2 linked regions of the Coturnix japonica genome follow. The protein of the gene in region 1 purifies or fractionates together with the protein of each later gene. This does not show direct contact. Links are inferred from orthologs where the notes say so. Each region holds a gene or a part of one and is shown on either strand. Other genes may lie near its edges.

Region 1 (3,913 bases):
CTTACTGTCTGTAGGGGACAGGGAGTATCTTGGAAAGGATTGTTCATGTGTAGGGTTCTGGAAGGAATTTGCTCCTGAGGAAAATGAGCAGTGTTTAGCATCACATTTAAATAGCTTGCAGGCCCAGGCTACTTAGAAAAAGGAAGGCAGAGTAACACTGAGAGCTTCCTTAGTCTAGAGCACGTGTTCCAAGCTGAGACTGCTAGCTGAGGTATCCCTGTCCTCCTCTTGAAGGAGCTGGGAGAGGAAAGCAAAGCAAGCACTTCCAATTCACCATCAGAACACAAGAAGGCATTTGGAAAGATGCTTATTATTCTGTTTTATCTACTTGTGTTTTCAAGTTTCTGGTATTTCTGTTGACATTGGTAGCAGTACAACAAAGCCGAGTACAGAACACAGTTCTCACTGTTCTGTTATTTGATAAGTCAGGATTTGGCAGTGGGACGACATGGGAACTGTTGTGAATTTGTGTGCCCTTTCAATTGTTTTCTCTGTTTTTGGAGAACGGTACGTTATCTGCAAAGGAATTGTAGCTCAGCTTGGAACTCATTTTTGTAACTTTCGGGGAGGAAATAACACAGAGCCTCGGTTTTGTGTGCAACATTTTACTTTGTTGGCAGTTTCATCTGATTTTGTTTCTTAACTGTGTGACTGTGCTCACTGCTGCGCAGCGGAGAAACTTTACAAGGTGACGGTAATTCTCAGCTAGGGTGCTTTAACTGTAGTAGCAGCTCATGCAGCTCTTTTTCTTCCTCTCCAAGGCTGGAAGTACAAGCAGATGTACAGAAAGAGCGCTACAGCCTGAGTGGAGAATCTGGCACGGTGAGCCTGGGAACAGTTAGTGATAATGCCAGTACCAAAGCAATGGCAGGATCCATTCTCAACTCCTATATCCCTTTGGACAGGTAAGAGAAAGGTGAAAAGAGAAGGTTAAGCCTTGCTTACTAAAGGTATCCTAAGCATGCCTCAGCGGTTCTGTCTAAAATTCTGAAGAAACAGTTTTTTTGTTAGAAATGGAATTCCACACAATTGCTTCTGTTTGCCAAGCTTACTTCCAAAGAGCAGCACAATCTTTGTAGCTCAGTAAAGTGTTTCATTTTCAGGCTGCCTGCTTCTGTTTGGGCTGTTTACTTGGTGAACAAAAACCGGAGACGTTTCTCTCACTTGCTTTTGCAGTGTATTTTGGAAAGCTGCAAGAGTTTGTTCCACCGTGTCAGCTGCGTGTTGTAGGTAACTGCTCACACTCAGGTTTGTTCTTGTTGCAGGGAAGGCAACAGCATGGAAGTGCAAGTGGATATTGAATCAAAGCCAGCCAAGTTCAGACACAACAGCGGAAGCAGCAGTGTTGATGATGGCAGTGCTGCAGGTCGGAGCAACGCTGCGTGTTCGTCGGCCGGCGTGCCAGAAAGTAAATCGAGTGCCACCAAGTGGTCCAAAGAAACAACAGCGGGGAAAAAGTGCAAAGGGAAGCTGAGAAAGAAGAGTAGCATGAAGATAAATGAGACAAGAGAGGACATGGATGCTCAGCTGTTGGAACAACAAAGCACAAACTCCAGTGAATTTGACTCTCCCTCTCTTAGTGACAGTATTCCATCCGTAGCAGATTCTCACTCGAGTCATTTTTCTGAGTTCAGTTGCTCAGATATGGAAAGTATGAAAACTTCCTGTAGCCACGGTTCCAGCGACTATCACACTCGCTTTACCACGGTCAGTGTGCTCCCTGAGGTGGAGAACGACCGCTTGGAAAACTCCCCACAGGCGAGTGGAATCGCTGCGCCTGTCCCAGCAGCCGCAGGCACCGATGTTCAGCAGCTGAGTTACATCGCTGAGGAAAGCATTAATAATGGATCTGCAACAGACCTAGGTCCAGGTGTTGATGAAACTCTGAAAGAAGCGAACAACAACCATTCACAGCGTGCTGCGGAATTAAGCACTGCTATTCAGACTGAAATTTAAGCCAAAAAATGCTGCAAAAACACATTTACCACTAATGAGCCCTGTCTGAAAGCTGGTTTAATTACGTGCGGCAACTTCCGTAAGCTTCAGGTGACCGGCAGAAGCGAGGTTCTGATACAGCTGCATTTTATATACCTGTCCGTTAAGGCAGAGTTACTTCATACAGATCTTAGACCTGTGTGAAGGGACATGAAGGCTTTAACAAGTGCATTACAGCAGTACAAATACGTCCATGTTTTATTTTTTATTTTTGCCACAACTTTGCTTGAAAGCGTATACTTGGTGTATTTAGATGAAAATTGGGTAATTCTCGATATGGTAAATGCTAAAATAAATAATACGTCCTGCACTGTTGGCTCAAAAAATAGGGGATGTGGGATAAGTGGGTGTTAGCTGAGCATTAGTGACTTACAACCAAGAACTGTAAGGGAAGCAGAAGTTTTGCAGAGACCTGTACAAACGTCTTTCAGCAGTGAATATCCCCAGTGATGGTTAACGGTTTATAACTGGACACGCTGTTTGGAATGGATCGCGTACCTCCAGGTGGTGCGGCCCTGTGTCAGGAGCTCTGAGCGAGGGTAAGGCGTCTTACAGCATTCTGAAGCAGATGAAATTGGTACATAATACACAGTGGGATGGAGACAGTGGGCTCACTTATTTATCCACACAACCAACCGTGTGGCAGATGAGGCCGCCGCGTATTGTGTAAAACCTGGAAGGTAACGATCCATTGATTGATGAGCATCACAGAGAAGCAGATGCAGCCACCTTTCATGAGGGGGGAATGCGGTGCCCCGTCAATCCTCGGTGCCTTGGAAAAGACTGGGTGTGAAGTGCCTGGTTGGTGGAGGATTTTCAGAATGTCCTCTTTGGCCACCTTCGATCCTCATAGAAAATCCTAGCGAGTAAATGACTGGTAGAGAACTGTATGATAGCGGAGTATTAGCCTACCAAAGACTCACTCAGGCTTTCGTGAATGATTTCTTTCACGTGACATCTCTTTGCAAGACGTGCATCTTCAGTCCCAGAGTTGGAGTGCAGGGCAGTGACTGCCCGGCTGCCACCGTGGCGTCCAGACATGCTGGCTTACTTTTCTTCTGCGTACAGAAGATGTACAGATAAACACGAGCTGAAGTTGGCCAAAGCGCCTGCACTGTCCAATGTTGTTTTTTCTTTTCTTTCTTTTTGCTATGTAAATCACTAAAAATGAGGGGGAGGGGGAAAAAAAAACAGTTGTGAATATCAGAAAAACAGTTACCAATGTTCTGTCTTGTGTTCAGTGTATTGCCATTATGGTGCTACTGGGAGTTGGGTTGGATGAAAAGAAAACGCCGTGTGCCGCGGTTCTCTTCCACGACTTATCCTCACCAGTTTCATTACATGCTTATAACACTAGTGCCAGTTACGTCATTGGGTAATGCTTGTTACGGTATTTGTATATTTGCAATTCAGTTTTGCTCAGTAATATGCGTGTAAACTGCATATCTGAAATAAATGTCTATGTACTGAGTTGGAGTGGTCCTGTCAGCGTGCAGGCGGCCTCACGGAGCCTCTGCTGTGTGAGGAAAGGGTGAGAGCTGGGGCTGCTCATCCTGGAGAAGGGAGGGCTGAGAGGGGATTCCATCAGTGCTCATAAATATCTGAAGGGTGGGAGTCAAGTGGATGGGGCCAGGCTCGTTTTGGTGGCACCCAGCAACAGGACAAGGGGCAACAGGCACAAAGTGGAACGTGAGCTTCTTCACTGTGATGCTGACAGAGCACTGGTACAGGCTGCACACACATGCTGTGGAGTCCCCACCCCTGGAGATACTCAGAGCCCACCTGCACACTTACCTGTGCGGCTGCTGCAAGGAGCTGCTGTAGCAGGGTGTTGGGCTGGGTGATGCCCAGGGGTCCCCTCCAACCACTGCCATTCTGTGGAGCCTTTGCTTTTCATCTCAGTATCAGTGCAGGAATC
Region 2 (3,913 bases), on another chromosome or scaffold:
GACAGAGAATCAATAGAAGCACGCTGCTCGCGTAACTGACCTTTAGCATTAGAGCACCCGGCTGCCTGTGAAGCCCTTCAGCTACCACTGCACACTGCTTTCATCCAGACACCTACCACTCGACTTACTTCATCTGACAAGTAACTGATCAATAACAGAAGCTGCAGGTACAGGCAAAGTACCTAAAACCATGACCAACACGGCCAGATTAACCACAGTGATTGTTCAGAACCTACCTCCGAATGATCAAGTCACCTTTAAGACTTGCACAAGATCTAAAGACCAGCATGACAACAGCACCTTCCCAGTCTCAGAACCCAGAAGCATACTACTGAAACAACTGCTCAGTGGTCTCAGACACCACACAAACCCCTCAGACACTAAAGGTCCCCCAAAGGTAACTGGGCTATTTAACTGCTTCCCAGTAAGAATTCAGTCTCAGCTTCCTCTGACAGAGGGCTATGAAGCAAGGGCAGAGGCATTCAGTGCCAACAGACCAGTACTTACAGCCAGCACACAACCCCTACAGAATACATCCCATAGGCAGCATGGTACCTACGGTAAGGTGTTAAGAAAAACCCAGCACACCAAATGAACATCCACTGTGCCAGGCACTCAGTGTTGTGCCCATCTTGCAGCCTCCCCAAAGCCCTAGTGAGGATCCTCACAGACCACATGACAAGCCTACACACAGCTCAACACAAGACATTTATAGGGCCACTGCTGTCAATAGCTAGCTCCAAAAGAGAAGCAAGGCACCACGAGAGGTATTAGTACATGACCTTCCTTCCCCTTCTCACTTATCTCCTAATGAACATTCACTAACAGCCCTTATTATTTCCCCTTCACCCCAGGCTATGATAAGACCAGAGCGCCAAAGACTGCATTTTGCACACACTCTTAGAGCCAGGGTATCTAAAGCACTGCTGTATGATCACCAAGTACCTTCCTAACTGCCCTCAGAAGTCCTGCTGGAACTGCTAGTTTTCCTCTAGCACTATCCTAGCAATTAGTCACACATCAGCCTCTCAAGCTGAACTTACACAACTACTGCACTGCACAGTATTAGGTCATGCCCATGACACTCACCTATCTGCATCTTTTGGTCCACCGTGCTGCTTGCCTTCAGGATTGAAGTGAGCACCTGCACTGGTACACCCTGAAAAAGAACAACCACCAAAAGTAGATTCATCACAATAAGCAGATAAAGGCATTGCTTATACTGCATGTGAACTTAGTTCTCCTACAGTGAGAGGAAGTTAAAATCATTAATGATGAAACAGCTACTCTCCAGCTGGATCTATAAACACACAAACATTACTCCAAGTTCAACAAATCCACGTGACTCATTCCAGAATAATCTCTGCCAGATGAAAGTTTCTCCATTTCTTAACACCAGGTTAAAAACTAGGTCAGAAGAAGTACTTAGGCCAGTGCTTGACATACCAGACCTTGAAGAGTAGCCTAAATGCGTTCAAAGAATGTTGTAAGAATCAGTTCACAGTATCACAGTCTCATGCAGGTTGGAAGGGACCTTAGAGATTATCAAGTCCAACCCCCGGGATTCGAGCCTCCTGTGTAGCAGAGCGGCACTTCTACCACTGCACCACCGGAATCATGGTTTCAAATGTGCTTCAAATGTGCCTTAGGAATCATGGTTTCAAATGTGCAGTCATAAAACATACGCATGCTGAAGATGGTTGCTGCTGTGCCACTAGAAGCAGCTCCTTGTAGCTGTAACTCAGCAGCTTGGCCAGGCACCTTACCATTTGTGTTGTCCCCAAACTCATGCACATGGAAGCCGTGATCTCCATCAGACAAGCCAGTAATTTTGCCAGTAACCTTTACCGGTCCGCTACCCTGTAACACAAAGAGCTGATTACTACTGACACCACTAAAGCATCACAGAGCCTCATTACAAGCAAAGCTTCCAGGTCAATAACAAAAACCAGCTACCAGTGCAGAATAACCTGAGCTGGAAGCGAGCCCTGAACATCACAACGTATGCCTGAGAGCGTTGTCCAGACTCTCCCTGATCTCCAGCACTGGGGCCGTGCCCACAGCCCCGTGCATCCCGCCCCATACCCACCGCCCTGTGGTGCAGCCCCTTTCCTTAACTCAAACCAACCCCAACCCGCTGCTCTCCCTCCCCCACAGGCACCATGACCGGCCCCGCCCCCATCCCGCACCGACCCGCGGTCGCACGATGACTCAGCACCGCTGCCGGTCAGAGTACGATCAGATCCCCCCCCGCTGCCGGGCCTTGCCTGCTGCTGGAAGTGGATGACCCCCTCCACGGGCCCGTCCCCCTTCATCACGCATACGGCCTTCAGCGTCGCCATGTTCCCTCAGCAGCACGAGAGGGCGCGCACCAACAACCCCGCCTACAACTACCCGAGGGCTAACGGGATCGATGCTCCCGCGGGGTTTATATACCGAGTCCGTCAGCGCCGCGGGCCAATCACAGCGCGTTCTCTGGTCTTCTCGCGCAGTTACAGCGCGAGGTGCTGTCAATCAAGAGGGAAAGTGGGCGGTGCGGAGGGAGAGCCAATCAGCGGTGCGGTCTCATGGGCCAATGGGAAAGCGGGACACCTCCAACGGTCGGGCTGGTTGTGTAACCGCCGTTCTCCATCATTGTGGCGCTGTGCGGTCTGTGCTATGGCCGTTATCTCTGTTACTTACCTCAGGTCCCTCAGACCCTGCGTTGGGTGGATGAACGGACTGTGGTGGGGAGAGCTCAGTGTGACCTTCAGTACTTGAAGGGAGCGTATAAACAGGAGGGGGAATGGATGTTTATGAGTGGATAGTGATAGGACAAGGGGGATGGTTTTAAACTGAGACAGGGAAGGTTTAAGTTAGATATGAGGAGGAAGTTTTTCACACAGAGGTTGGTGACGCACTGGAACAGGTTGCCCAAGGAGGCTGTGGGTGCCCCATCCCTGCAGGCATTCAAGGCCAGGCTGGATGTGGCTCTGGGCAGCCTGGGCTGGTGGTTGGCAACCCTACACACATCAGCAGGGTTGAAACTACATGATCACTGTGGTCCTTTTCAACCCAGGTCATTGTATGATTGTGTGAATAGCTCAGGAGTGGGGGTAGTCATGATGAAAGAAGGCTTGTGGGTTGAGATAAGGATGGGGGCAAAGCCTGCCCGTTAGACTCAGGCAAAGCACGCTTGGTGTGGGGAGAGTTGTGTTATTTGTGGTCTACTGATAACAGACTAGAGCAGTGAGAACTGAAAGCAAATATTATTATATATACTATATTATCTCACATTCATTATCATATTTAGTTAACTACTTTTCTCCCTTAGTTCACTGCTGCTGTTTTGTTTCACACAGAATCACAGAATTGTAGGGGTTGGAAGGGAGCTCTAGAGATCACCGAGTCCAACCTCCTGCCAAAGCAGGCTCCCTACACCATGTCACACAGGTAGGCATCCAGGCAGGTCTTGAATATCTCGAGAGAAGGAGACTCCACCACCTCCCTGGGCAGCCTGTTCCAGTGCTCTGTCACCCTCACTGTAAAGAAGTTCTTCTGCACATTCGTGCAGAACTTCCTATGCTGTACTTTCATACCATTACCCCTAGTCCTGTCCCCACGCACTACTGAAAAGAGACCAGCCTCACTACTATGGCTCCCACACCTCAGGTATTTATAAGCCTGGATCAAGTCCCCTCTCAGCCTTCTTTTCTCAAGGCTAAACAGACCCAGTTCCCTAAGTCTCTCATAGGGGAGATGCTCCAGGCCCTTCACCATCTTAGTGGCCCTCCTTTCAGACCTGTCTCCCTGCCTTTCCCCTTTTCCCCCTTCCCCCTCTCCTAGAGCAGGGGTCCATGGGTCCCCTCACCTCATTAATCATGGTACTGCAACAAAACCAACACAACAACAACAATGACAAATCCACAGAGAA

What was found.
Region 2: the proteins of RNF19A (region 1) and SOD1 purify together in Homo sapiens (affinity purification with western blotting, with the first as the bait; 3 studies listed by BioGRID). This does not show direct contact. The link is inferred for Coturnix japonica from reciprocal best matches to the Homo sapiens genes RNF19A and SOD1.

Annotation. Positions count from the first base shown.
Region 1 is NC_029517.1:116,328,133-116,332,045, reverse strand, and holds the end of RNF19A (E3 ubiquitin-protein ligase RNF19A), read left to right. Parts: intron 1-761; coding exon 762-905; intron 906-1,265; coding exon 1,266-1,956; 3' UTR 1,957-3,466; downstream 3,467-3,913. UniProt on the Homo sapiens protein: E3 ubiquitin-protein ligase which accepts ubiquitin from E2 ubiquitin-conjugating enzymes UBE2L3 and UBE2L6 in the form of a thioester and then directly transfers the ubiquitin to targeted substrates, such as SNCAIP or CASR.
Region 2 is NC_029516.1:94,144,498-94,148,410, reverse strand, and holds the start of SOD1 (superoxide dismutase [Cu-Zn]), read right to left. Parts: upstream 2,483-3,913; 5' UTR 2,343-2,482; coding exon 2,268-2,342; intron 1,861-2,267; coding exon 1,767-1,860; intron 1,160-1,766; coding exon 1,090-1,159; intron 1-1,089. UniProt on the Homo sapiens protein: Destroys radicals which are normally produced within the cells and which are toxic to biological systems.